Astyanax mexicanus: one gene and its partners. The protein of the gene in region 2 interacts with the protein of the main gene of each other region in a pairwise test. Links are inferred from orthologs where the notes say so. Each region holds a gene or a part of one and is shown on either strand. Other genes may lie near its edges.

Region 1 (8,118 bases), on a different chromosome or scaffold from region 2:
ATTTCTAGCTCCTATTGCCTGTGAAACAGTTGTTGAAATTATTTAGCTGTCTGCAAGTTATCATTAAACTGTCATCTTAATGGCACATACGTACCTTCATTTTTTCTTTTTCTGCTTCCTTGGCCAGTTCATCCACCATCTCAATGAGTCCACCCACTATTTTCTGAAACTGGCCAATTTCTGTTTTCCAAGAAATGAAATGAAATCAGTTTAATTAAAGCTGTTATCTGACAAGTGGTGGAGAGTAAGAAAGTGCACATGCAGTTACCCAGTGCAAACACCAAACCTTTCAACATCAGGGCAACAATGTTAAATGTTTGTCTACTTAATTGATTTAATATATGAAAAATATAGATGCATTTTTAAAGACTGTAAGTTTTTATTAAATTTGTAAAAAGTTTGCAAAAAGTCTTTAAAGCCACTTGGTTCTGTCTCATGGTAATTCATTTCCATCAGTGTTCTGTGTTCAGACTTTAAAGTATTTAACAGGTTATTTTACATGGGATGGACAGTAATTCAAATTGAGTATATATCAGAATGTTTCAATAATGGTGATATGATGTTTAAACACTTGTTGATTTCAACAATCATAATTGTTTTTGGGTACCGTTGTGGACATTCTTGGCAGTTTTTCTACTGAACTGATCTAAATTAATTAATACATTGTGATAAATTTGATTGTGTACATTTTGGCCCTTATTAACATGATAATAAAAGTGTTAAAAGTCTGGAAATAAATTATAATACAGCCATACTTACTGTCAACAAATTCTTTGCACTCCTCTTTAAGCTCTGTGGTCTTCTGACCAACATCAGGTTCAAGTATTCGTAGCTTATTAAGTTCATCGAAGTGAAGCCCAGCTTCTGCCAGTGGATCTTTAGCCATGACCTGAGGCCAGCCAATCACTGATTAGGTCCAACTGTTGAGAAGCAACAGAAGATTACAGTCTTTTTAAACTGTGAGTCAGTTGTGAGAATAAATGTAAACTTTTCTTTTCTTTAAGGTTTAAACTGATGATTAAAACAGGACTTAATGAGACATATGGTACAGATCAACTACAGTAGAGAAAAGTAAAAAAGTTAAAAAATAAATAACACTTAGAGACATTTGATCTGATTAGTAACTAATGTTATGGGCAGGTTTAAATCTCTATAACATAAAGTATTATACGAAAAGCCTTTATTAATCCCACAGCAGGTTAATTCACAATGTTACAGCAATGCAAGGGACAGACAGAATTGTCAGGAAAGAGAACAAAAGAGAACATAACAATAATAAAAATTATAGACCTAAAAACAGATTAGATAAAGCATGGTTACCCATCTCTTATGATAGGCAGTGACCAATATTTTTGTAGATAAGCTGACAGTAAATAAATATACAATTCAAGTTCTGACTACCAATAATATAATGAATATAATAAAATATATTTTTATTAGTAATCATTTTTCTGTTACTAATAACTGTGACAATTATAGGCATGTATACACTGAAATACTAGTACTTCAGTGTACTAGTAACATTTTAATTATAGATAAGAGATAGTAAAGGTCATTGTAAATGAATATTGTAAATCAATAGTAACACATGACAGGTCAGAAAAGCTTTATAGATCTATTGATCTGTAGATCTGATATTATTACTAGTAAACATTTCATAGGTGACATCTGAAATAAGTAGATTCTGTATGAGTTAGTAAAATCTGGTGTCATCTTATACTAGGGGTGGGCAATATGAGCCTAAAATTATATCAGGATATTTCAGGATAACATTATTTTTGGGGATATGACAAAACAATAAATAAAATAATAAATTTAAGAATACACTACTGCAAGAAAATTAATATTAAAATGTATTTGCCAATATAATTGTATACCATATGATATGGTGCACCCCTAATTGGCATTTTTACCAGACTGTAATAGAAGTCAATGATGCAACATGTCATAATACTAATAATGCACTCCAAATATCTTCATATATCTAGTAAAATAAATAATATTGGACAGATATAATCTGTCTCTAATAGACTTTATTGGGAAATAAGACCTATGGGAATTTTCCTTTTACTGAAAAAATCACAAAATTGTACCATAATGCCCATATGGCCCTAAAATTAAATAATACAGCTCTGGAAAAAAATAATTGACCACTTAAAAATTATTTTCTTTGATTGATTTTAAAAAAATTAAAACTTCTGGAATATAATCAAGAGGAAGATGGATGAACACAAACCATCAAACCAAACTGAACTGCTTGAATGTTTGCACCAGGAGTGACAAAGTTATCCAAAAGCAGTGTGTAAGAATGGTGGAGGTTTTCTTTAAATTATTTGAGGTCTAAAAGCTCTGCATCTTTTTTGTTAATTCAGTCATTTCTCATTTTCTGCAAATAAATTTTCTAAATGCCAATATTGTTATCTGGAATTTTGGAGAAATGTTGTCTGTAGTTTATAGAATAAAACAACAATGTTCATTTTACTCAAACATTTACCGATAAATAGCAACATCAAAGAAACTAATTCAGAAATTAAAGTAGTCTCTTATTTTTTTCCAGAGCTGTATATCAGGGTATTATCTACCACCTATCTTAGACTATTTGTAGGTTATCTGAGCAGCTGGGTGACATATGGCTGCTGATCAACTGGTGTTGGTATAGTGAGGATTCCTGATCACATTAAAACAGAGTATCTAAACGGAACTGACTAAACTGACAGCCTGTAAAGCTGCAGTTTCTTAGCTCTGCTCTCTGATCCGCCGAGTTTAACATCAGTTTACAGAGCTTCTCTCACAACACAACAACTCAGCTAATCACAACAATCAGCTAGCGGGGTTAGCAACGCAGCTATCGAGTAAACCCACCACAAAAAACACACTGTATTTAACATTATAAACCGCTTTATTTACTATAGAAAGTGAAGGAATCTCCACACATACCCGCTAAGCTGAATTAATGGAGATATGCTGATCTCGCCGGTCTCTTCGCCGTTTTCTCCGCTCGCCGCTTCTCTCGGTTATGTGGCAGAAAGACTCTCCAGATCAGAGATTCTCTACTGAGGAGAATTCCCACTACAGAACGTGTTCCGGGTTCATCACAGCACCAGAGGGCGCTCAAAATCATAGTTTATGTTTAATATGTCTAATAAAAATCATACTAAAAATATGTTAATTTCCTCAATACAGAACCATATTTAAATAATGTTTAACGCCCTTTATTGCCAGTTACAAACCTTTTAAATGTGTTATGGACGTCTTTGTTACCGCATAAGCTTGCTAAACAGTCATCTCACTGTAACTAGAACAGTGCAATGTTTACCCGTAATTTTCAGACCATTTAAGGCTAAATACAATTTCCCCCCACATGCTATAGTAAAGGCCATTTTCGTTTTACATTTCGGCCTTCCATAATCTAAAATTTCACAACAAAAAAAAGAAATGGACCTTTACAAAATTTTAAATCCAAAAAAAGGTAAAAAAAAAAAAAAAAAAAAAAAAGGTAAAATCCAACCTTATAATACTAGATGAAAAATTAAAGAATTGAGTAAAGGTTTATTTTTTCATTTTCCCTAAATTTAAGATTTCTTTTTATTAAACCCATTTCTTTTTATTAAACCAGATGGAAAAAAATGAAATAATGAAAAGTAACGCCCAATTCTTTATTTTTTTTTATTATTTAGCCTTAAACAATCATAAAGTGATCAGCATTACATTGATGCATGCAATTTGTTGTCCAAAAATATTTGTTGTAATAACGTAGAAAATACGGGTACGTTTATTTGCTTGATTAACAAATTTATTCAATTAGTCAATTTACTTTTTACGTTAATGTAATATCCGGGACACGTAGTTAATTAATCATTTTAATTTGAGTTTTTAGCTGTTTAGCTCCATTCACCCCCATTCATTTTGGACTCCCTCGCGGGCTCCCTCTAACGATTTGCACTTATTTTCTGATATAATTAGAAGTGGGCAGGCTCTCCGTAAACCGGCTCTGCTCCAGATGATGAGATTCCGTCCCCGCCCCGAAGAGTCTCTGCCGCTGCCACGGCGACCGGCGGATCAGTGCACTGCCCCGTTAAACCGGGGGCCAAAACAAAACAATAGATTTACGCGTTTAAAAAATGTGTTCCTATAATGTATATAACACTTTATTTTGTACTATAACTCTATTAAATGTCTGTAACACCAATATCCCATAATATATGTTCCCTATTTTACATTGCCCACAGCATTCACACAGTGCTGTGTTCCTGGACATTCAAAAACGTCCCAAAAAAGTATTTATAGACTTAATAGTATTTATACAGATTTATTCAAGGCCTTTATACGTATTCTTTGGGAATCATATCAAATCCATTAAAAGTTTTAGTAGGACTTTTATTATGAAAAGCCTCCCGGTATCTCCAACACTGCAGGGGGCAGTGGAGCTGCTGAGAAAAAACGGAGAAGAAGAACACGAGCAAAACATTCAGCGCCACAAATCAGCCCTCTTACTGAAACTACATGTAGTTTAATACACACTGAGGTAAGATCTAAAACTGGTTATTATTTCGGCACACACACACAGTTGATGCAGATATTTGGTGGAATAACGCTGTTTTTTAATCACAGTTTTCATGCATCCTGAGTTAATCACAATTTCCTTTGGGTTTTTGGCCATTTTTGACAGGCTGCTCAAACTGTTTTAAAAGTTTCCTGAGATCACTTTAGTGTTGCTGTTTAATGTTTAACAAATGTCTAGCTAACATTAGAAGTTAAATAACAATTAACAAAAATGTTTAGCTTGCTACTGCTTTGCTTTTAGTTTTTTTTTTTTATATGAGTAGAAGTAGGTAGCTAACAAGCTAATATTAATGCTTTATGTGTTCGACAGCCCAGTGGGGTGGAGCAGTATGTCTGTGTTAAAAACTGCAATATTATTTTTTTGTATTAATTATCTATTAATAAATAATCTATTTATATCAATAGGGCATTTGTTAATATTGTACAGCTCTAACCTCAACCCCTACATTTAGTGCCAGGAAAACAATTCAGTCTTTAAGCATATTTATATAAATTTCAACAGCCATGTTTTATGGTCCTATTTGATTTACCAAAAATATGCTATTATATGGTAAAATATACTATGGACATAAATATGGACCCTGGACTACAGAGTCTCAGTTTTAACTATCTTCTATAATGTCATTGCAGGTGTTTTCTGTGATCAGAAGAATGCCTTTGTCAACTCAGTCTCAACCAGAGAATGATGAGTACATCCTGATAGCTAGTTTGGATAATGTGAGAAACCTTTCTAACATCTTAAAAGCAATATCCTTCAAAGACCATGCAATATTCAATGCGACGCAGAATGGGTTAAAAGTAACCGTAGAAGACTCCAAATGTCTTCAAGCAAATGCGTTCATTCAGGTCAGTGTTCAGAATGAGACATTAAGAATTCTCAAAAACACTCAGTTTTAAATGCATTTTGACTGTAATTGATTGTGTGGTTTTCTCATCCTGCAGGCAGACATTTTTCAAGAGTTCACACTTAAAGAGGATGTGGTTGGGTTTCAGGTTAACCTAACTGTGCTTCTGGATTGTCTCACCATCTTTGGAGGAAGCACAGTGCCAGGCACGTTTCTATGATAAATAATGATTAGATATAATAATGCACTGTTAGTGTAGTTGCATCACTGATTGAGCTAAAACAACATTAAAAACATATTGTAATTAAACTGTTTATGATTTTATCTTGATGGATCATACATTCTCTCTCTTTAAAAAAATGAAGGAGTGATGACTGCCCTGAAAATGTGCTACAATGGTTATGGCTATCCATTGACCCTGTTCCTGGAGGAAGGAGGAGTGGTTACTGTTTGCAAGATTAACACCCAAGAACCAGAGGAACCCTTAGACTTTGACTTCTGTAGCACCAATGTGACCAACAAGGTCATACTTCAGTCAGACAGCCTGAAAGAGGCTTTCTCAGAACTGGACATGACCAGTGAGATCCTGCAGCTAACAATGTCACCCAGTCACCCCTATTTCAGGTACAGAAACACTATGCCTTGTCTTATTGGCAATGATATTGACCAAGAGTGGGGGACATTTTTGTGTCTTACATACATTCAGCTCGATTCGGACGTGGGCGATTCTGTATCGATTCATAAATGCTAAAAATCGATTTAGACTTGCCAACATGTACGAATTTTGCATGCATGTTCTAAAATACGCATAACATTTGATCTCGCATTTCCCTGATGTTCTCCTTCCCTGTGTGAGTCTGTTTTCTGCCGCTCACGCTGTCAAGCTGGGTTTTTTTTACTACGATCATTAATCCAGCAAGCTACCTATCAAGCCATCCGCTACTTTCCTCCAAACTGTCGATACACCGTCACTATGCTGAAGGCACTTTTTTGTACTAATCATCTGGTTAATTAAAAAAAACTATGCTTTTTTAAGGATATATTATGGATCATTACAGATGCTCTACTTCATTAATATTCATACAATGAGAACAAATAAATCCTGTATAAAAGAAATAGATGCATCAAGACGAATCGAGAAACGTTTTATAATCTAATCGCAGACCTCTGAATTGTATTCAAATCGTAAGGTGCCTAGAGATTCCCACCCCTATTATTGACCTATTATTGATTTTGTTGACAATCTCATTAGGTTAGATTTGTGCATCTGGATAAAAACTAGCCTGTTATCTAATAAACATGTTTACATCATGGAATATTTTGGGCCCTTTAAAAGTAAGTATGGGCACATAAAAAAAAGATAAAATAATAAAAATTATGTTTTTTTCATGTTGCATTATGTTTTTTTATGTTGTATGTATAATAATTAGCCCTGTTTAACTAGTTGTTTTCCAAAGCTTTATCACATTTAAAACACTGCCTAAAACTCAATACCATATTATATTACTAATATCAAACAATATAAATAATTAATTTGATTGTTTTCCCCCCAGATTGTCCACATTTGGAAATTCTGGAAATGCCCATTACGACTATCCCAAAGACTCTGAAATGATGGAGCTGTTCCAGTGTACAAAGACACAAACCAACAGGTAAGAAGACCAAACTTTGTAATGACTAGAAGGTTAATTTCCAAATTAAAATGATCAAATCAGATTTGTTCACAGACATTACAGACAATGTGAATATAGACAAAATTCATGTGACACAATTTTAGTTCCTGTCCTATGACTTTTGGCATTGACGCCGGATAATATCAGTTTGTGTTTTGCTGTTGCTCACTCAGGTACAAGATGTCTCTATTAAAACCCTCCACCAAGGCGTTGGCGCTGTCCTGTAAGGTGTCTGTAAGGACAGACAGTCGAGGCTTCCTCTCATTACAGTACCTTGTGCGGAATGATGATGGACAGATTTGTTTTGTTGAGTATTACTGCTGCCCAGACGAAGAGGCTGATGAAGAATAGACCAACATGAGTTATTTTGCTCATCTTAAAACGTGCTGTTAATTGTTTCCCTTTTCATGTTAAACTGTGTCGTTTAATCAGATTAGTGATCTGATTTGTTCATTGTATTTTATTAAATTCAGTTTCTAAAAAAGAGATAAAGTAACAGAGCTTGTATTTGTTATATAATAAGATTTTGAACTTTATAAATCTTTTTATCAGTTTCTTTAAAGTTGTTAACATGAAGATGATCTGATATGACACATACATTACTGTGTGATATACCATTAAAGGAGTTTGAAATCTCCAGTTGTTGCTCTAGAGTTGTTTATTTTTGGTAGTTTTTTGGTAGGTTTGGTAGATTAACCTGCCAGCTAATACAACAGAGACTTGACCCTTAGGGGACCTTAAATATAAAACTAAGACTTGTTAAAACCAAACAGAACAGAAAAGTGGAAGTTGTTTTGAAAGGTTAAAAGGACAACAACAGAACAACAACAACAACAGCAGCAGCAGCTGAGTTGACACATTTTGTTTTTGACAAATGTGACATTTACATTTAAACCCTTAGGAGACCCTTTTGGTATAGAATTAAAATTATGTGTCCAGTTTACTAATCCTGATCCTGTAGTATCGCCTGCTGCTTATGCAGTTCTCTCTGGTCTATAATTTATCTGGTCTATATTTTAATCTGACACAGTGCTTTT
Region 2 (7,727 bases):
TTAATCTTATCCTTATGAAAATATTTATCACTGCATATTCAGCACAGTTAGAATTTCAGGTAGATGAGTCAGCGTCCACAGATGGGTCGGTGCAGCTTTAGTGTAGTGCAGTGGTTCCCAACCCTGACCTTCTGAGTACCCCCTGCATGGCACAGTTTAGTTTTAACCCTGTGCTCCCAACACACTGATCCAGCTAATCATTAGCAAGCCTTTGCTGAGTTGAAGGTAGTGTGTTAGAGTAGGAAAAACACTACATATGCACGTCATGGGGTCTTCCATGACCAGAGTTTGAAACCACAACCCAAACATAGTGGGTAACAAAATTGCCCTTCCTGTGGCAGATTCCCCAGCTGGACAAATACATCTAAACAAAGATATGTTAACCATGTCTCTAACACTACATTTGCCTGTGTAAAATGATTTAGGTATATAATCACTCTGGATAAGAGTGTCATCCATATATCATTAATGTAAATGAAAATAAAATCATATATGTGCACATATGGCCTCTTGAATTTGTTAAAAAGCAAAAAAAAAAACTCTAAAATATAGTGGTAGTTATCCAGGGCCAGGGTTGGGAACAACTGGTGTGATGGGTACCAACATTGCTCCTCCAGCATCAGTAGATGTCTACCTCTGTGGCTAGGTAAGCGGATGCAGACCGTACAAGCACCCATAAGGCTTCCTCGTTTGTTTGCATAACCATAGCTAAGCAAGGTGCCTGGCAACAGTGAAGCAGTGAGAGAGGCACTAACAGAACAGAGAGACAGTGTCTCATTCTCTAATCTGAAGCTGAATACAACAGACCAAGACATACATAACTGTCTGACAGTAGAAACAGTGGAAGTATTAGATACAGGTCCACTTACCAAGTATTATTAACTTAAGGTCAACCCCCAAAAGCATCATAATGATAACTCAATAACAATGTAGGTTTCCAGAATACCCATCTATTATGGACGCTGGTTTATCCTAAAATGAACCCACATAAACTGTGTTTATGTGCACCATGGTCCTTGGAGGAACGTTGTTTCGTTTCACTGTGTACTCTGTATATAGCTGAACTGGCAATAAAAACCACTTTGACTTTGACTTTGACTATACAAGTCCTAACTCAGTTTTTACAGATAAAACCTAAACTCAAGATCTCTTTAATGCAGTTTTTACTAATAAAAACCCATATTTCAGATTTAAGCTATGTAATATTAACTAGTAACACTATCAGATCTACAGACCAAGCTATTATCACTAGTTATATTACCAGGAGAACATATCCTTTATGTATTTTGACTAGTCATATTATTATGACTGATTTACATTATTAAAATACACTCTCTTATCTATAATACATTTTTGTTTACATAATTACATTATGTATAACTTCTCTTTACTCTTGAAAATTGTCATTCCAGACATCTACAATGTAGTTTTGAGAAGTAGAAATTGCAGTTTAATACACTGAACTAAACTGTAACTATATACAATTTCCATATTAGAGATATAAACCTCAATTCCTTAACCCACACTACTAGAAGTCAAAACTATACAAGCCAGAATTGATTCATAGATGCAGACCTAGACTATATTAGTCAGAATGGCAGTGGAGATATCTTGAACTATATTTTTGTTTTGTAAGGGAAAAAAAGTAATTGTAGATATCTATTACTGAAGATTTTACTTGTACAAATGTAATTATAGGTAAGAAATATAGATTAAAAATACAATTACATTACATATATGTGGTCCTGGTAATATTAGAGATATCAAAACGTGTTTAGACATAGATCTGTAGATCTAATATTATTTATTAATAATAAACATCTTAGAGCTTATATCTGAAATGAGATCTGTTATTTTAGTTTTCATAGAAAAAACTGAGTTAGGACCTGAGCTCTTTTAAGAATTTAGAAATCAAAATTTTGTTTTTTAATCACAGTTTTCATGCATCTTGACATGTTCCTCTCCACCAGTCTTACACACTGCTTTTGGATAACTTTATGCCAATCCTGGTGCAAAAACTCAAGCAGTTCAGTTTGGTTTGATGGCTTGTGATCATCCATCTTCCTCTTGATTATATTCCAGAGATTTTCAATACGGTAAAATATAATAAACTAATCATTTTAACTGTTCTCTCATTTTTGTTCCAGAGCTGTAGATGATGTGACTAGTCAGAATGTGTTTAGCTATAGCTCTGTAGATCTGACATAATCACTATTAAAACTTTCAGACATTATATTTCAATATATAAAACTAGGCTAACTATACACAGGTTACAGAGATCTGCAGCTACTTAAGCTAGCTAACTTGAGTTTTGACTAGTAAAATGAGAGTTAGGACCCGAGTTTGGTACTGGTAATGTGTGTCTAGTCAGAATGTGTTTAGCTACACATAGATCTGTAGATCTACAGATCTAGTAACTAAACATTTCAGAGATGATATCTGAAATAATAGTTTCTATTAGTAAAAACTAACTAGCTAACTTAGCGTTAAGTTAGCTACAGAGATCTGTCACGAGCTAGGTTAGCTAATTAGCCAACTTGAGTTTCACTAGTAAAAACTTGGGCTTGGACTAGCCCTTGTAGCTAGTTAGCTGAAGCTGGTGGTGTTACTTTAGGCTATAACGGTGGGCTATAATCTACAGTGGTGGTGAAGCCAGAGCAAAACTTGGAAAGGTGCAAAACAGCAGAAGAACAACCACCTCACATCACCTTACAGCACTAATCCAGATCTGCAGCTCCCTGCAGAGCTCAGGAGAGCTTAAGTAGGAGTGCTAACCGTTAGTTAGCCTGTAATGCTGTGCGCATCTGGACCGACTGAGCCGAGGAGTTCAGAGCCAGACACAGTAACGTTAGTGAGCTAGTTAAATTATCCAGCTATAGTTACGTGATGTTTAGCGGTTTAAGCTAATTTCTCGGTAAATAACCGAACAGACAGCTCTCCTCCGGACTCACCTCGCTTAATATATCGTGCAGGTATCGGAACGGCGGTTTGCTGAGCAGTTTTTCAGTCAGGGGAGGCTTCTTTATCACTCTCCCCAGAACCTCCTGGGTCTTTTTAGCCACCGAGCCGTTCATAGCAAAGCCCTACGGTCCTCTATTCGACGTTACCGCTGCTCCCGTGTGAAATATTGAGTAATTCACCGCAAAAAGACCCCAAAAACGGAGGAGCTACAATCACTGAGCGGCTCTCAGTGTTGCTGTGTCAATAGCGTTCAATCCCACAATGCCCCGCTTCGCCAATATGCGCACGCGCACACCCTGCGTGGTTGTCAAGGGGTGGCAAATATCCATGGCAACGGCTAACAACTCCGGGCCTGTTTAATAGCATGATACACTTTAGCTAAAGCTAATACAGGATTTTAGCTAAAAACACATTTTATTATACATTAAACATATGAAAAAATTAAACATAAAACATTTACTGCACAATATACTGACTATAACAGAATAGAGAGTAATGGAGAGTAATGTTTATATGAATATAAATATTTAAAGGGGATATAGATGAACTCCTACTACTTATAATGATAGTAATAATAATAATAATAATAATAATAATAATAATAATAATAATAATAATTTTGCAACGATCAATTAATCAGTCAATCTTTATTTTTTTCTCAGAGGTAGCTGCACTGAGGGTGAGCCCGTATTTTCATTGCCGCCAACAATTTCCAATAATAGGGATTTATACTCTTTACATAAAAAAAAAATAAAACAGAGGACAGTAATCAAGCTAAAACTAATGGAAAAAAACCCCGAAAATAATCATTATTATTAATTAATATTAAACTGAAATTAAGACTTTTTTAAAAAGAGTTCAGAAAACCCAGATAGCAGATCTAGGGAAATACATAATAAGAAGGTAAACCAAAGATAAAGATAAATAGGTATAAGAAAGGTTTAAAAACAAGAAAATGTAAACAATTCAATGTAATATTTTAAGTACAAAAAATAAACTTAAGCTAACTAACTAATAATGAAATTATACAATAATAAAATATTATTGATGATAAAATAATAAACAAACATAAACAAACAAATAAATAAAAAGTGATTTGAAAAAAGTAGTTAAGGTTAAGAAAAACAGGTAGAGGCAGAATGGATGTGGTTAAAAATTAAAGTATAAAATGACTGAGTGAAATGCGGAATTTTCCAGTTAAGTAAAACATTTTGTTCAGGTTTACCAGAAGAATAAAAGTAACTAGTTTTTATATATAAGTAATTTAAACATCTCTCTGCATGTGCCCATATAGACATGAAATCCTTTAAATAATTTCAATGGTATTTTGTCTACCTTGGCCTTAGCCAAAATAGTACAATGGTTTAAAACTACAATGGTAAAAATACTGTTGAATAATTCAAGATGTCCTTGATATTTATATGATACTATTGAGTATTGTGGTATATTGAATATACCACTGCACATTTAGTACCATGAAATACCATCATACCATGGAAAAACTGCTGTATTTTTTCACATTAGATGGATTTATTAATATTAGGCTACAGTATAAAAAGCTGTCCAGTGGTGGCTCAGCTGCAAGTTCTGGATTGCTAATTACAGGGCTGTGGGCTTGCTATAACTATAAATGCAAAAAGGCACATTATTATTGCAATCAAAGTAAGTGTTACAACAGTGAAAGTGAAATAATAGTTACAGGTTATGAAATAGATCCAATTCCAATGAGCCAATTCACAATATCACTGATTGCAGAGCACTGCCTGTGCTAAAATCTGGCTTGTTCACTCTTTGACACACCTAAAAAAATCTGCCGGTCCCATGAACAAAGCTACAGACAGGGAAAAAACCACACCTTTAATTCATAACAGCCTCTAGGCCTCTAACTGGTTTAAGCAAATTCTGTGCTTCAACATACACAACAAAGGCAGCCACACATTCTTAATTACAAATCACCCCTGTATAGTTCCAAAGCAAGATCAATACACCCCTGTGATTAACAACTGAACAGGTGTTATTTTCTTATTTTATATTTTCTCCATCTTTTATTCCCCCCAATTTAGCTTAGCTAATGAACCTGCTCTCACATTAGGATGTCCTCTATCACTATTAATTCTGTTACATGTGAAGCCAGTCGTTGTTTCTTCAAATGCAGAATCACTAGGTAATCAATGAGCTTAGAAAAAAGCACCAAATCCCTAGTTCTGATACATCAGTCAACATACATCTGTGCCAGCCAGCATCACAGACAGTGCCATCTACCTACCCGGACAAAAAGAGAATGGGTGGCAAGGCAGCTTGACCTGTGATTTGAGCATCTGGTCCTTGTGCCATAGTGTCACCTTCTTATGAAAAGAGGTTCTTTTCCTGAAATTCTGAACCTGCATGCTGTATCTCTACAGGTCATGCCTAAAACCAATTTTATCTCCACCAATCCACAGGACGTGTTTCTTTGAAAACTTGTGTCACAAGAAAAGTATTCTTTTGCCTACATATAGGTCACAATATAAAAGTGCACTACCACCCCAAAGTCAGAGTCAATCTTCCTTAAGGTCTTTTACAGTCAAAGAGTGGGTTTTGATTTTCCTTTTTCGAAACCAGTCAAATGTAAAATTTGGGGGGGGGGGGGACTCAAAACTAAGCATATTAAATATCAGATCATCTTCTATTTACTTCAGTATTTCTTTAGTAAGAGATCAGTATTTGTCCAAGTGTAACCTGTGCATGATTCCCATTAGTGCTAGTAAACAAAACATGAAAAAATAATTGTAAATTGTGGTTTATATGAATGTGAGAATTTGAGTCATTGAAAAGCTACTGGGAGGAGGACGTCTTGTTTAGCCATGTGTTCGTACGTGTATTCAGACCTGTTTGGCGAGTTCTTTTAAGCTATAAATGCACCTGCACCACCATGAATACTGTCAGACTGACAGAGCAGAAGAGCAAAGCTGGTTCAGCCGTTTCACTTTTGGTAAGATTTCTTTTTACTTAAAAACTGGTATTTATTGTTTTTTAATTAATTATGTATTATTGGGAAATTGAAAGGTGTTGTGTTTATGCTTGGCTGTGACAAATTAAATGTCATATTTGTTTAAGTTGTGTAAAGTGTATATCTGTGATTTTTTTTTTTTCGTTTTTGACAACAGTATAATTTATTTTCACACAACTGGGATAAGTGTAAGCTAATATTGAGATATAGAGGAAGTTATGAACAATTATTATAATCAAAACAAGATGCTAATGCTTTTACCAGCCTGTCTAAACATGCATTTCTAAAAAAAAAAAAACTAATCACATGCAGGGTTCTCAATATTTACTCCACAACATGATTTGTAAAAAAAAAATCATAAAGGAATGGTCATAAAGTAGCTTTTGAATAGACCAGTTATTTGTATATTCAGACCAGTTTGGTGGGTTTCATAGCTATACATATACCTGCATACCTGTGGGTTCTGTCAGACAATTTTTTTATGTCTACAAAATGTTTTGTTTATTGTATTGGCCCAATGTGTATGTCATTAATACAAATAAATGTGTGTAGATATTTTATAATTAAAAAAGTAGCTGTTAAACAGACCAGTTGGCCATATATTCAGACCTCTTTGGTGAGTTTCATAGCTGTAAATACACTCGCATGTGTGTGAGTTCTGTCATATAAAATGTGTTTAGGCTCATGTTAGCAATTGCAGGAAGATTTTTCAATAAATCTATTATATCCTGATTTGTAAAACATCCTCAAGAAAAACTACACCTACAAACAGTGCAGTTGCCTTTTAAACCGACCAGTTAATCATGTCCAACCACTTGCTCAACCAGCCACCTCCTCTTTTTTTTTTAAGCAATCCCTTTAATAGCTACAGGCTGCAATGTGAAAGGGGTATGGTACTTAACTAAACACATTCCACCATACTGATCATACTGATAATTTAACACTTAACACAGACATGTGCACAATATACTCACTGTTTGTCTGATTCTTACAGTAATCATGGGCCGCTGGTGTGTGTACGCATTGCTCTTCTTCTTATCCTGTGACGTCTCCATGCAAAGAAAAAAGAAAGTAGTCCAGACTCTCTCCAGAGGTAAGATCATTTCAAAATATGTATACGTATTTTTCCACACTATAAGGTGCACTGGATTTTAAGATGCATTATGCGACACTAGCAATGAACAGTGGTGTCGCCCTGTTTTCCTTCTGATTCAGCAGGTCTTGCCACTGGGTGACGAGACCTTTAAATCTAAGCCATGCAAAGTAACAAAACTATAATTCAAATAAGCACTGGATGTTAATCTACACAGATTTCTCTCCTAAATACAGTTTATTTGGGTGAGTAAGGAGCTTCTATTTATTTGCTGCAAGCTTAGATTTCCAGATTTCCTTAAGTGTTCCGGTAAACCAGGGTGCTATTAGCTAGTGGTTTACAGGTTAGACAGGTTAACCTGGTAGCAGGTTACAGACCGATAATACTCACCTCTGAACGGCGAAAGAGCTAGCTAATGCTAATACTGCTCAAGTTTTGAGTCTTGGGGCTGGAGAACCAAACTAAAACTCCTGTATAACACTGCACTTCAGCAGAGTGGCTTTACTGCTCCTTACAACCTTTCTTAAGTAAGGCCATGAAAAAAAACTCTTGGATTTAAATTTGTAAAAGAAAAACTGTCTTTGTTTTAACTAGACTGACTCTTATTGCACTAAATTAGGATGATGTGTCCTGTAGATCAAACAAATTTGAAAATGTGCTATAAAAAGAGCCCATATATATATA
Region 3 (7,940 bases), on a different chromosome or scaffold from region 2:
TGATGCTCTACAAACAGGAACGTTCTTCAATGGAAAGTCTGACAACTTCATTAATGCATTACTAAAACAGTTCAGTATGAAGTACAAAGAAGAAGCGAGCACCCTTCTTTCAAGCAGAAGAGCAATAAATTACAAAAAATGTAATGTCAGCAGTGTTGAGACTGTACCTTTTCTTTCTTTAATGCCTGAGTGAAACATACCAAGAAAATAGAATGTAAGAGCAGTACAGTAACAGTAAAAAAGAAAGATAAACACAGAAACCAAAGTAAATGCTCTAAATAATGTTACTCTAATCAGGGCTGCAGACCTTTTATGACCTTATCATCAGAAGAAAACTGAGAACATTAAAAAGCTGATAAAGCAGGTGAAAGACAAACTGGACTGAAGAAAGAGAACATAGCTCTTGATCTGCAGCTGGCCAGCGTGGAAAGGACTGTTAAAGAATGAAGCATCTATGAGGCAGTATTTATCAGACTTTAAAATCTACAGCTTTTGAGATGCAGTACAGGTTTAGAATATATTTCACTCTGCACTTTGTAATCATTAAAATTATTCAATATTCATAAAAACAGGCAGAACACATTTGTGTTAAAGTATTTGCAAATCACTTTGTTCGTAAATGAATACTTAATGTGTCGGTCATTTCAAAATCCTTGCAAGAACACACAAAATTTACACCCACTCCTGGCCATGAATAAAGTGTGTGGAGCATCACAAAAGTGACTGCACTTAAATTCAACTTCAACTCCAAACTACATAGAACTCATTTTAAACAAAATGTTGTTTATTCACAGTCACCTTTTTAAGCAAAGACATCAGCTTTAACAAATAATTGCATTTTCAATAGTATTAAACAGGTGAACAAAAAGTGCAAAGTGCAAAAAACTAAGTACAATGACTTAGAGGTTAAACTCTGTTGTCGATGAAGTTTCACAGTAACTTGAAAAACACTTCAATCAAAGTCAGGATGCTGTGACAGTTTTACATGCACTAAGTTCAAAATCAGTTACATTGAATCATCCTTTTCTTCAATGTTAAAATAATACTTCTACCACTTAATGTTCCCAAACCCCTAAATGAAGATTTAAACAGTAAAGGATTGAAAACAGAGATTTATGATGACAAGAACAACAATAACATAGAACAAAAAAAGACCTTAATGAATATTAGCTGTCTGTGAAGTCCTCCGCTGTCCTATCAAAGTGCAGAATACTGTCCTCCAGTCCAAAGTGGTCAATAAGCTGAGAGAGGCTGGCTTTCTGGCGATCTGTAGGTAATTCTGTTTGTAGTTCATACAGCACTGCTTGAGCACACCGCCTCCATTTATCTATCAGACTCTGCAGCTGGGTCAGATCGTTCTAATAAGAGAAAAAATATATCATTCACTACGGACACATTTTTTTTATTATCATGTTTTAACACAAACACAGATATATTCATTATGATATTTACCTTCTTTCTGTACATTCTGACCATATTCAGCCTTCGCAGAGTCTCAGCTTTCTCCTTGACATCTTTCTTTAATTTCTCTTGGAGGTAAAGTAACTCACTTTGAGAGGCCTGAGAAAGGTCAGACCCACATCTCTCCACACAGTCTTTAAAGTCTTTCTTGGTCTCATTTCTGTTCACATCAATCTCAGCCTCATCCTCTGTTGGTCCAGTCTGATCTGCCTCTCCGTTTAAACTGTGTGGTAAGTCATCTTCATCCACTTTAAGCCGTTTGACCACACTCAAAGGGGATGTAAAGGAAGGCCGTGATCTTTTTAACCTGGCTTTCAGGGCAGCACTCATGGGCTAGGAATAAATAGAGAGGCATTCAAACACTGCACCTTAAACCACACATTTTTTTTATTATTGTGGGCACATGTGTGCGAAGGTTAAAATTCTGATGTAACAAATTACACAAAAATGTCAGAATTTGTATTTAAACATTCTGTTCTATAAATTGTCAGAACTAGCTCTATGTAACATTAAACATTTTATTAAAGCATTTAAATTGTTATGATTGTTGGAACAGACCTATATCAGCAAAAATAAATTTTAAAGGAGCTAGTTTTATCTTCAGCACTAACTCTAAAATGGGGGGCCTTGTAAATCAGAAATCAGTCGATTCTAGAAATCAGTGGTGACCTTAGGTAACCTAGCCCTAGAATTATATTATTACGTTATATAATTATATAATTACGTTATAGCAGTGAATTGTTTTGACAATATAGGGACAATACAGCTACAGCTTCAGATTGCAGCCTGTGAGAATAAACGTAAACCATACATTTTTCAACCCAGCAATCCAATTTCCATTTATGTTCTTGATTTGTCTTTAGTTTGTAGTTAATTTATGTCACCTAAACTAAAGAAAACTTTTAAACCTCCAACAAACCTTTAAAGCCCAGTAAGGGTCTGTAAATTAGCTAGCTAACTATTTACACATGATATATCAGTAAATGTCGTTTGAATATCTAATATTTATTAGACCTAATCAAAGACTTAATGTTTTATATGTACTCCTAACTGTACAGTAAGTCACAAACCTATATTGAAGCACAGTCATGAAACAAATGTATGTGTGTATGTAACGTTATATATATATAGTTAAACTGATAACTACCTTGTTTACACTGGATCCACTTGGAACAGACTCCTGATGCTCTGATGAGAGTCTCACCGGTGTTTTATCCATAGCTGTCTGTCTGTCTGTCCGCAGCCAATTCAAAGTAGCAGGGAAACTTTTACAGCTGAAGCTAGTAAACAAGCTTAGCTTAACTAAAGCTGCGCTTTAAGACAGAGCAAGCATTAAGGAAACTCAGCACAGTCGATCTATCTTGTTAAATATGCAAGATCTGCAATTAAACAGCATGATTATTTGGCTATATAACGAACGGTAGCTCTGAAACTCTCAGCTGAAAAACAGCAGTTTACATTCATACTACCGCCTGCTGCCTCCAAATGAATCGTCACTTCCGGGTAACACAAGGGTTTCATGGGAAATGTAGTATATTTCCAAAGCTAAAAACTTGCATTTATCAAAATAGCACGTTTATATAAAGATCTCCTGTCTTTAATATATAGTTAATTGTGAAACGCATTTAATATGAGAATATAACTAGTCGTATAACTATAGTAAAAAGGAACTAGAAAGGTTTATTTATAAATAGTAAAGAAATAAGTATGCAGAAAAAGTGAGAAAAAAAAACCATTTATATATTCTTATTGCCTACAGTGTTACAGTACAACTACAGTTTCCATGCTTTCTCCTTGACATCTTTCTTTAATTTCTTTTAAAGGTGAAGTAACTAAATCTGAGAGAGGTGAGACCCACATCTTTCCATACAGTCACATACATTCCATGTGCCTCTTGGACTCATTTCTGTTCACATCAATCTCACATCATTCTGGAAAATCGTCTTCGTCCTCTTTAAGCCGTTAACCTTCTATTTGCCTATAATGTTAAATATTTGAACTCCCCTAAATTGCCTTTGTATTTTAGCTGCTTTGAAATTCACATAACGTTATTTGGTGAAACAGATAATTGCAGTATTTATACGAAAGTAATGGTTTAAACAGTCACATTTTTTACACTGTGGGTAGATAGTTGAACAGAATTCATTGTGTTTCAAGCAGCTTTTAGTTTAAAAGTAAAGGGAAAAAATGTAAGGGAAAAAGTTGGAGATATAAGGTACTTTTTTGGTAAGATTGATTTGATATAATTTAGGACCAGAGACCAGTAAAAAAGATGGACGCTGTGTCTCCGTTCCCATTCACTCAATGAAAATGAAGAAAAAATCTTCCACCATGTTGGCGATCCTGACACCCCAGTCTGCACAGTAGAGACCAGAGGAAGGAGAAAGACTGTGGAGAGACAGCCTACTAATTTGAATAACCCCGCCCCTGAGGGCTGCCTCGCGGTCACAGACTGCAGAGCGGAGCTGACGATCTATTACTGGTCCCACCCATAACCAGCCCTTTTACAATAACCACACCTTTTTTGAACAGAGCTGAATAACGTTTTAAAAACGAATTCTTTGGGGATATAAAAAATTGACAATATAAGCAGAGGTTACACTAGCTGTTGCATTTAATTAATGGAGGTAGAATTACAGTATATTAGAAAAATGTGTGATTGAAAGTTGTCTATTTTGCCATTGAAACCTATGGGGATGGGTGGGGTTACACTGCTTTCTGAAACCGAACAGCAGGGGGCGCCCGACCTGTGGTGGCTTCAGTTTTGCGAGACGATGCTCTGTCCAGCTATATACAGTCTATGTTTAGGACATATAGATGATAATACAGTCTGTATTAGATTATATTTTTTTACAGTAATGAGTGGTGATAATGGTGAGTTTTACATATAATTGTTATAAGGAAAATTAGGCATGTCAGCAAGAGGAGGACGGTCAGTGTGCAGGTAAGACCTACTAACAAGAAGTAAGTTAGAAAGAATATCTGGCTGGACTGGATTCCCTTTACACACTGAAAAAATACTTAATTGTCACTGGATCAATTACACTCTGAGCTGATCTATTTGGCCCCAGTGAGTTAGCACAGGTTTTTATAACAATTGTATATCATGCCCACAGGAAATGGGCAAGAAAATGGTGGTTAAAAGTAAGTCATAAATTTCATGTAGCTACAGAAAGAGAGAGTACGCCCTCCTTTTTACTGTACCACTCTTTCTTTTACAAGACCAAATGCTTGCCTTACGTGCGTTACCTATTTAATCAGAAGATACAGTTATTTAATTATTATAGTGCTGCTCCTTCTGCTTTTGCCTTCATCCACAGAATGTTGTGGAGATCAAAAAGTCAGCATGTCCCGGCTGGTGTTCAAAATGTTTACTGCTTGGAGTTCTGTATTGCTTATGGTTTCACCCAAAGCTAGAATTAGAGCCACAAGCTGCTTTCTCATAAAACAGCATAATCATCCCTGCTTGGTGGGGAGAAGTTCCAGTTGCAAAAAAGATAGGTGGAGTTTGGATTTTGGCTCACTGGGTTTTTCCAGTGATGATTACTATATAATGTGGTGTGACTAGGTCCTCATTATAGACTGTTTATCACAACCCACAGTTGTACTGTTCATGTATTTAATTAAGCACATTAAGTAAACATTGTCAGTGCAGGCTAGAAAAAGTAAGTGAACTCTTCAGCTTGATGACTTAATTAATCTAAAGATAATATTTAGCATCAATCAGATGTTGATTAGTTTTGCACAACATTGAGCGGGTACACCAGCTTCATCATGTATAGAAAGTTGTTTGCATCTAGGCATTGTTCACCTTTTTTGAGAAGAACATATTTTTCAGTATCAAAGCTTTGTTTTTCTTTATTAAATAAACAAAACACTTGTATAACCCACACTTTTATTTAAAACACTTTGGCAAATTAGCTATCCTTAAAAGCATTAACACAGAGGTGGGCTTCCTTTTTCTAGTCTGTGGACATTAAATTAATGTCCTTATTAAAAGACATGAACAGCACAAATGTATGTGTGTGTTTTAGTGTTTATTGTTTGCCTATTATTGCACCTGAGATCATTTTATTACTAATTTAAAATGATCAGTTAAGTAATAATCAGTGCAGGAATCTGCCAAATCAAATTCACAAAATCACATTGCTTGGAAAATATTTAGACCAGGAAGCAGTTTCCATTAATCAGAAAATAATGTTAATTAATTGATAATCCCTTCCACCTGGTTGTGAATGGAGCTTTAATGCCTAGACATTCAGGACAAGAGAATTGCTCTTTGATGACAACAATAACACAGGGCAGGTGTACATATCTACACAATAGCCTAGATAAAGTGTCAACTATAATGTTTCTTACACAATAGAGGCTGGGTGTGTCTTCTGTATCGACATGCCTTTGATGTGGTGAAAAGAGTTTTAGGGAGATTGCAGTTGTTCTGAAGAGAAAGTGTATCATACTGTAGACCTATGTGTTTTCTGCACACCAATGAGCTTAATAATAATAATATTAATAATTATAATAATAATAAAAGTTGCAACTCCCCTTTTAAAGCATATATTTGTATTCATAATAGACAATAAGTGATCAACATGTACCCACATTCAGCAGCAACATAATTAATATTTTATATATATGTATTCATACTTGCATTTTATATACAATAGATATACTGTATATTGTATATATGGACATACAACAAACACAGAAATGTTGATTTCTGTTTGTTGAAATCTTGTTTACAGGTCTCTGGTAAACCGAAGTTGATGTCATTGGACTGGTCCTTGTGGTTGTTTTAAAAGAACTCTGATGTAAGTAGATCAGCTGGTAATGTGTTAACATTTCCATGACAGTGCATGTTTAGCAGAAATGTAATGGCAATAAAAACAAGCCATGTCAGGTTTGCATGACATTCGTTTACCACACAGTGGACAAGAAGTGTGGCTATTTTCTTACTTCACCATTTTACTTGTGGCTGTGGACTTTTTCTAGCATAACAGGGTGGTGATTAGAGGGTCAGCATATAGTAAGACAGGTACTGTTTCAATCTAGCATTTTAACTTTGGGTTATGATATATAATAATAAGGTTATAATATTTGTAATATTTGTAGGTACAACCCAGCAATAATCAAATAGTACAGTACTGTTTATCTGGCATGCTTAATTAGTAAATTACATTCGGCTGAATCCTTGCATGTCTATACTTACCTTTTTTTTTTTTTTTAGATAATATGAATCTTGCCGATGTCCACTAAACATCCACCAAACGTTGTCATTTTGGTGATACAAAATTTTGTCCAACAGTGAAGATATAGATAGGGTCTCCAGGGGTGAACTCCCAATTATGTTGTTTTTTTTTTAGTTAGAATAGGGAGATTATCTTAAAATAAGCTCCCCCTTCAGTGGCATAACAACCTTCTTACATTTGTTTTATTTCCAAGAGACTGATAACACATTCTGCATTTTCAATAATTAATATTATTAATTTCACTTCTCATCTACTTCTCATTTTTCTGTGTTAATAGGGGCCAAAAGGAACAGTATTCTAATAATAACTTTTTAAACCAAGCATCCTGTTGAAAATGTTCTGCCTTTCTGCTACTGTTCCTGCATTCACACATGCTCAGGAGATTCCACTGCTGTTAGCTGTACTCTGTGAATCAGCCTCAAGTGATGGCACATGTTTGAAGTCAACAACTTTGTATAGCAACCAACCCACCAGAGTTGGCCTTCGTGGAGCCCTGGCTGTTCTGATGGCTGTTCTGTGGGGAGCAGAGGTGGAGTCCAGGCTGAACGTGAGTCATGTGTATTGTGTGTCTGGAAGGTGTGGTTAGCTGGGCAGCAGGACAGAGCTGAGCACGAGGGGAAAAGTATTTGGCTCTACAGGCCAACATTGGCTTTGTAGCTCAGGAAAGACTTTCGTTCACATGGAAACCAGTACCATCGTCATAACCAATCATTTGTGCTGCTCCTTTCAGAGATGGTGAATCATTGGGATATTATCCTGGATAATTTTCCCTAAATTATGCTACATTGCCTGGGCAAGTCAGATAAATCTGTTTAATTTTAATTCTGATGTCTGTATACCTTGCAGCAAAAGTGTCACATACTTCATTTCTTAATAAAAAAGCCATAAAAGTGAATAACTGAACCATATACCTTACCTGAAATATATACCTTAAATCCAATAACTGTGTTTAGTGTAAAATGATCAGAAAAAATAAAGAATCAAGTCAAAGTAAATCCTAGACTTATGCAGATAATTATTTAATGATTGTTTACTCAGTATCTACTATTAAGTTTTGTAGAATTATTGTAGGAATTCAAACTTAATACATACTTTATTTGTGTATACTGTTCATTTAACATTTTTAGTAGCATTTTAAATGGGCAGAAACAGAAGATAATCAAATGAAATTTAACTAAAGCAAATAAATAAATAAATATTTAAATATAAATATTTGTAACTCTGGCATAG
Region 4 (7,307 bases), on a different chromosome or scaffold from region 2:
TATAAAGGTTACACTCATTTTTTGTTCAATTTGTAACTGTTTTTAAAAAACCTTTTTAAAAAATATTTCATAAAGTATTTCATTCTGATTTTGTGACAAAGTTTCAACTGAGTATATATTTTATCAAATAATCACTTGTAGCCCATTTTGCAAGTCTTACTGTCATTTGACCTGCAGTTCAACAGAGGGCTTTCAGGGTTTCTTTTCTGTTTTACTGTTGATAGTAATACTGTCATTGGTGGGTAGTAACCATTGGTTTGTTTAATTTTAGTTGAGTATACAGAACCGTAATTAAACCATGTAAGAATTGTCAAATGATAGTATTAAAAGGTTTACATTCTATTGTGACTACTTCTGAAATAAATATTATGAAATATAACTAATACCTCTTCACTTGCACAATTGTTTCAGCAGGTGGCACCAAAGTTGGACAATTATAAATGTTACTGTCTAAATATTTGAGTTGTATTTTTAACTAATTTTTGTTTAATGTTATTTTTTTTCTTCTAATAATTTTTTTATTTATCTGTTTCTTGCTGAATCTTTGTTGTAACAATATCAATTACTTCCAATACCTTGTTTACTTTGAAAAGCTCTTAGTGTTTTGCAAATGAGCCTTTATGTAAACCAAAGCAAAAATTTCTTGATGAAATCTAACGGTTGCTGAAAATACTGACTAGGTGTGGACTGCACACATCAAGTTATATCAAGTCTAACCAACATGACATACTACAACTATGATATTGGTCAATTTAACCATTGCTGATTTGTAGCAACAGTTTTTTGTGAATTAATTTCAATAGCTTTTGAACCGTTGAGGGTATCACAACAGAACAAGTTGTATTAGATCAAGTCCCACCCACGTGACATACTACAACTCTGATATTGGTCAATTTAACCCTTGCTGATTTGTAGCAACAGTTTTTTGTTAATTAATTTTAATAGCTTTTGAACCGTTAAGGTTATTGATACAGAACAAGTTGTATTAGATCAAGTCCCACCCACATGACATACTACAACTCTGATATTGGTCAAATTAATCCTTGTTCTGTTGTGATACCCTCAACGGTTCAAAAGCTATTGAAATTAATTCACAAAAAACTGTTGCTACAAATCAGCAAGGGTTAAATTGACCAATATCAGAGTTGTAGTATGTCATATGGGTGGGACTTGATCTAATACAACTTGTTCTGTTGTGATACCCTCAACGGTTCAAAAGCTATTGAAATTAATTCACAAAAAACCTGTTGCTACAAATCAGCAAGGGTTAATTTGACCAATATCAGAGTTGTAGTATGTCATGTGGGTGGGACTTGATCTAATACAACTTGTTCTGTTGTGATACCCTCAACGGTTCAAAAGCTATTGAAATTAATTCACAAAAAACCTGTTGCTACAAATCAGCAAGGGTTAATTTGACCAATATCAGAGTTGTAGTATGTCATGTGGGTGGGACTTGATCTAATACAACTTGTTCTGTTGTGATACCCTCAACGGTTCAAAAGCTATTGAAATTAATTCACAAAAAACCTGTTGCTACAAATCAGCAAGGGTTAAATTGACCAATATCAGAGTTGTAGTATGTCATGTGGGTGGGACTTGATCTAATACAACTTGTTCTGTTGTGATACCCTCAACGGTTCAAAAGCTATTGAAATTAATTCACAAAAAACCTGTTGCTACAAATCAGCAAGGGTTAATTTGACCAATATCAGAGTTGTAGTATGTCATGTGGGTGGGACTTGATCTAATACAACTTGTTCTGTTGTGATACCCTCAACGGTTCAAAAGCTATTGAAATTAATTCACAAAAAACCTGTTGCAACAAATCAGCAAGGGTTAATTTGACCAATATCAGAGTTGTAGTATGTCATGTGGGTGGGACTTGATCTAATACAACTTGTTCTGTTGTGATACCCTCAACGGTTCAAAAGCTATTGAAATTAATTCACAAAAAACTGTTGCTACAAATCAGCAAGGGTTAAATTGACCAATATCAGAGTTGTAGTATGTCATATGGGTGGGACTTGATCTAATACAACTTGTTCTGTTGTGATACCCTCAACGGTTCAAAAGCTATTGAAATTAATTCACAAAAAACTGTTGCTACAAATCAGCAAGGGTTAAATTGACCAATATCAGAGTTGTAGTATGTCATATGGGTGGGACTTGATCTAATACAACTTGTTCTGTTGTGATACCCTCAACAGTTCAAAAGCTATTGAAATTAATTCACAAAAAACTGTTGCTACAAATCAGCAAGGGTTAATTTGACCAATATCATAGTTGTAGTATGTCATGTTGGTTAGACTTGATATAACTTGATGTGTGCAGTCCACACCTAGTCAGTATTTTCAGCAACCGTTAGATTTCATCAAGAAATTTTTGCTTTGGTTTACATAAAGGCTCATTTGCAAAACACTAAGAGCTTTTCAAAGTAAACAAGGTATTGGAAGTAATTGATATTGTTACAACAAAGATTCAGCAAGAAACAGATAAATAAAAAAATTATTAGAAGAAAAAAAATAACATTAAACAAAAATTAGTTAAAAATACAACTCAAATATTTAGACAGTAACATTTATAATTGTCCAACTTTGGTGCCACCTGCTGAAACAATTGTGCAAGTGAAGAGGTATTAGTTATATTTCATAATATTTATTTCAGAAGTAGTCACAATAGAATGTAAACCTTTTAATACTATCATTTGACAATTCTTACATGGTTTAATTACGGTTCTGTATACTCAACTAAAATTAAACAAACCAATGGTTACTACCCACCAATGACAGTATTACTATCAACAGTAAAACAGAAAAAGAAACCCTGAAAGCCCTCTGTTGAACTGCAGGTCAAATGACAGTAAGACTTGCAAAATGGGCTACAAGTGATTATTTGATAAAATATATACTCAGTTGAAACTTTGTCACAAAATCAGAATGAAATACTTTATGAAATATTTTTTAAAAAGGTTTTTTAAAAACAGTTACAAATTGAACAAAAAATGAGTGTAACCTTTATATTTTTAGATTGTTTTTAACAAAACAATTATTATAAAAAAATATTGTCAGGAACTCCTGAAGTCTTGTCATTTGTGACCAGCTAAAAACACTAAAGTACACTACACTTTCATATAATGAAGCATAAAGCATTTGCCCCGCCCATCTTCATTCGCCTTTTTGCTGTGTCGAGTAGTTTGTAGACGGTCCCTTAGCTCTCGTGCAGGTCGCGGCAGCCCATAGACGACAATGTGTTCTGTGGTTTTCTAAAGGCAGATGTTTGAGAGGGGAAAGACGTTGTAGCTGCTTGCTTTGGATGTCAGCATATAAAATAAGCAAGTATTAACCATTTTGCACACACAGTTCAAAAGCTATTGAAGAAAGAAATCCGAATATGCGAATATGAAACCAACTTTACCGGAGTCTCCCCGACTATGGAATTCTCTTCCAACTGCAGTTAAGCTATCTCCCACTCTTCCCATATTTAAATCGAATCTTAAAACTCATCTATTCTCTCTTGCTTATGGTCTCTCTTCTGCTTAACATTATGTTTGATCTCACATACTATAGTACTGCTGAGTTGGAGCTCCACTGTAAATGTTGTACCTGTATTGTCTGTGTATTGTATATCTGTATCTTTGTACCAATAATTGTAAGCGTCTTTGGGTTTTAGAAAAGCGCAATATAAAAATAAAGTATTATCATTATTATTATTATATCTCAAAACTGCGATTCAGTGATAATCAGTATATCGCAAAACTATTCTCCAATTCACAGCGACTATGCTACTGAGAAAAAAAAGTAAGTAAATAGCAGGAATTATGGATTTGTGTCAGTTTCACACAATTTAAATACCAATATTCACCCCATGTTTACATTTGATTGAGCCGTTACTGTACTATGTCAAATTTGGGGGTGAGTTGAGAGTTGAATTCCCGCTGTTGCTGTTGTGTATGAACAGTCTTTTTTAATGAACTCTATGCCCCTATGGGCTATTAAATCTGTATTTCTGAATGCTGGGGGTAAATGGAGGTGGGCTAATCGAGAACAGTTTTGTTCTCGTAATGTTTCACTACACCCCAAGTCTATTTCACTCCGGATTTCTTCTTCAATGTGTTTAATAATACAGAAGGATATTATTTTAAAAATTCTCTAAAGTGACATGAACCCTTGACTACCCCACCCCACCCCACCCCACCCCAGCAGCTGGTCGTGCCAAGTGCGCATGCGCGGCCTCTCCGTCACTCGGCGAACGGCGCTGGGAGTGAGTGCGCAGTGCTACCGAGGGTTCACCACTTTTATAATGTTTTGCTGAGCCGTCTGATTGTTAAGACTGTCGCTTTAGACCGAGACGCGAAAGGAGGAAAGGCCACAATGCTGCGCGTGTGCTGGAAAGGTGCAAATGCAGCGGCGCGGGTAAGCTTTGCTGAAGGACCGCCGAGTCTATGATTAGCCGGAGAGCTAAACTCCCCAGAGCGGTCATTTAGTGACCCACACCGCAGGCCGGCCGGGTCTATCGGCTCTAATAACGTGTTATCAGACGCCTCTGTTTATACAGTTACTCGGTGCTCCCTGTAGTGTGTTATTTAAGGTGCAGCAGCGCTAAAACTCTGGATTTATGGTGATAAATTGCGTGTCATTTGAAGTGGCTAACTGTGTAGCTGCTAGCTGGGACACTTTGAGTTCTACGTAAACGGCGTAAGTCAAAGCGTGGAGGGGCGGTCGTCCGTGTTGGATTGACGGCTGATGTAGCAAATGAAATGTGAGATCGGCAGTAGAAACGAGTGCCTCAACCAATAGGGCGCGTTTCTTCTTCAGTGACGTGGATGTGGGCGTACCAAGTGTGATTCAAGTTTTCCGTCATCCATTCATGTGCATTAGGAACCGAGGAGACGTTGGTGCAGAGTTTATAGTTTGCTGCTGAAATTTAGTTTATTTCGCTTTAATCAGATATCAGACCTGTGATATCGAGTGCACAAGGAGCGCGCGAACCCGCGACTGAGTTTATTTCGCATTGAGGCGAATTGTTTTTATCCAATTTGAGGGCGTGACCTTGCCAAGTTCATTGGAGTTGAAGGGAAACCCCTGGCATATGGCTGATTTCTCAGATGTTCATCACATTTTTTTTACACATAATCACATGTTTTATCTTGTGCATGTTATATTTACACAAAGGGTGTAAGTAAGACTGGCTGATAAGGGAGCTCAAAAATATTCTCTCACAGTATTTAAAGACACTTTCACAGTACATGATAGAAATTACAGGGTTTGCATCCAGATTAAATTCATCAGTAGAAGCAAATTACTGTATGACATACAGTACCAGTCAAAATTTAGACATACATTCTCATTCATTGTTTGCTTTATTTAATTTCTACATTGTAGATTCAAAATAAAAACATGAAAACAATCAATGAATACATGTGGAATTGCATAGTGAACTAAACAGTGTTTGTCCTCTGCAATACTGACCTAAACCCATCTAAGATGGTGATTTGGGATGAGCTGGAGCTTCAGAGCATAAAGTAAAAGCAGAAACTATTGTTTAGCACCTTTAGACCTACAACACGCAGCACATTCAGACTTTCATCATAATCACTAGAAAAAGACACAGAAACACAGACAACACTCTAACTGTTTAAATTATAAATAGTGCGATAGTGTACATGGTTTTAATAATTAATCTAAATTGTTGAATTATATTCCATGGATTTTGTTTAGGGATTATTTAACTACACAAAAAGTTACTTATTCTGTAAGGTAGTAGTGATTTTAAGCTTCTTATATGATTATTGAGGTGGTGATTGAGATTTGAAGAGAGCAGTGTATTTGTTTTTATCTGTTGTATGTTACTGCACCAGACAGAATGGTTGCACACTTCCAGGCAGTTGTTTTCATGTGGCCACTAGGTGATGAGGATGTTTTTGCTAGATGTTTGCTGTGGTGTTGCTAGGTGGTTGCTGTGGTATCCCTGGTAGTTTCTAGAATGTTGCGAAATGGGTTGCTAAATGAGTGATATAGTGTTCATAGTGGTTGCTCTTTAGTTACTAGGCAGTTGCTATGGTGTATCACATGGTTGTGAGGGTGTTGCACAGTGGTCACTGTGTTATCCCATGTGGATAGTTTGGTGTTAGTATTGTATTCTTACATGATCAGTTGCTCCCACCATCACCCAGTTGATTATCATTGGTGATTACACATCTGTTCTTGTTTATGGGCTCTGATTGGAGTTGCTGTCAATTTGTGGATAATGTTTTTTTTTTTTTTTTTTGTCTTCTCAGAATTGCCTCTGTGGTAAGGTACCAGTCCACCCTCTGCAGCACTGCCGCCGCTACACCTCAGCTGGAAACTCAGGGTATGAATTGACTGATTAAATAAAAAAAAATGCTTAGCTACAAATAAAGTGTTTGGATACAGATTTACCATACAGATTATCTCTAGCACACTAACCTGCCATTGTTATATTATGACTCTCTAAATATAATTTCATTTTAAATGTGATGCATTTTCTCTTGGGTCGGTCTATGGCAGGTCAGCTGCAGGAAAGATTGTGGCTGCTAGTATCCTAACAGTCGGTGGAGGTCTAGGTGGTACAATCCTGTACGCTAAATGGGACCCTAAATTCAGAGCAAATGTTGAGAAGAGCGTTCCATATTCTGACCAGCTTTTTGAGATGGCGCTTGGTCCCCCTCCACCACCGTTTATCCCAATGCAAAAGAAACCGGTAAGAGGAAAACCTGTTTAATTCAGATGTCTCATCCACTGTGCTTTGTATGTTTACAGACTGTCTGTCAGGCTTTAGATAGAGTCTATCTAGGTATATTTTGTTTATTGTTTTTAAATGCCGTTCTCTATGTATTTTAGGTGAAGGCTGAACCACTGCAGATCTCTTCAGTGTCTGAAGCCTCAAAGGACTCAAAGCAACCCAAAGCAAAAAGCAAAGCTAAAGAGAAGCAGCCAGAGCCAGCACCTGTGGATCCCAAACCTGCAGTAGAGGAAGCCCCAGCTCTGCCTCCACAGACCATTGAGGGTGAGTTTACATAATTCTGGATGATCTAATGGACTAGAAACATGCAACATGTTTTTTTCCTTGAATAGGTGGGTTTATCCAATAGACCTTTATCGGTCTTACGGGGGTTGTGTATCCTGCAGGCCCTTGTGATGTCTTGTAAAACTAAGCATATTATTAGGGTTTTTGTTAACAGCTTTTACTCTTCTGGGAAGGCTTTTACATTAGATCAGGGTGCTGATTTCTCTGTTGTAACAGACTTACTAAACCTTACAGTTAACACATTCAACAGAGTTAAG

The links.
Region 1: the proteins of traf3ip1 (region 2) and ift20 interact in a two-hybrid assay, tested with the Homo sapiens proteins (2 studies listed by IntAct). The link is inferred for Astyanax mexicanus from reciprocal best matches to the Homo sapiens genes TRAF3IP1 and IFT20.
Region 3: the proteins of traf3ip1 (region 2) and sfr1 interact in a two-hybrid assay, tested with the Homo sapiens proteins (2 studies listed by BioGRID and IntAct). The link is inferred for Astyanax mexicanus from reciprocal best matches to the Homo sapiens genes TRAF3IP1 and SFR1.
Region 4: the proteins of traf3ip1 (region 2) and immt interact in a two-hybrid assay, tested with the Homo sapiens proteins (2 studies listed by BioGRID and IntAct). The link is inferred for Astyanax mexicanus from reciprocal best matches to the Homo sapiens genes TRAF3IP1 and IMMT.

Annotation. Positions count from the first base shown.
Region 1 is NC_064425.1:16,836,138-16,844,255, forward strand, and holds the start of ift20 (intraflagellar transport protein 20 homolog), read right to left. Parts: upstream 3,068-8,118; 5' UTR 2,938-3,067; intron 921-2,937; 5' UTR 887-920; coding exon 760-886; intron 181-759; coding exon 95-180; intron 19-94; coding exon 1-18. Other genes in the region: cell cycle checkpoint protein RAD1, read left to right, coding at 5,215-5,409, 5,506-5,614, 5,774-6,032, 6,962-7,060, 7,255-7,432. UniProt on the Homo sapiens protein: Part of intraflagellar transport (IFT) particles involved in ciliary process assembly. May play a role in the trafficking of ciliary membrane proteins from the Golgi complex to the cilium.
Region 2 is NC_064418.1:38,618,644-38,626,370, reverse strand, and holds the start of traf3ip1 (TRAF3-interacting protein 1), read right to left. Parts: upstream 3,234-7,727; 5' UTR 3,075-3,233; coding exon 2,952-3,074; intron 1-2,951. Other genes in the region: agr1 (anterior gradient 1), read left to right, coding at 5,857-5,932, 6,945-7,043.
Region 3 is NC_064414.1:38,353,777-38,361,716, reverse strand, and holds sfr1 (swi5-dependent recombination DNA repair protein 1 homolog), read right to left. Parts: upstream 2,947-7,940; 5' UTR 2,681-2,946; coding exon 2,609-2,680; intron 1,795-2,608; coding exon 1,453-1,794; intron 1,359-1,452; coding exon 1,167-1,358; 3' UTR 764-1,166; downstream 1-763. UniProt on the Homo sapiens protein: Component of the SWI5-SFR1 complex, a complex required for double-strand break repair via homologous recombination. Acts as a transcriptional modulator for ESR1.
Region 4 is NC_064417.1:17,878,938-17,886,244, forward strand, and holds the start of immt (MICOS complex subunit MIC60), read left to right. Parts: upstream 1-4,226; 5' UTR 4,227-4,373; coding exon 4,374-4,415; intron 4,416-6,280; coding exon 6,281-6,354; intron 6,355-6,530; coding exon 6,531-6,723; intron 6,724-6,863; coding exon 6,864-7,029; intron 7,030-7,307. UniProt on the Homo sapiens protein: Component of the MICOS complex, a large protein complex of the mitochondrial inner membrane that plays crucial roles in the maintenance of crista junctions, inner membrane architecture, and formation of contact sites to the outer membrane.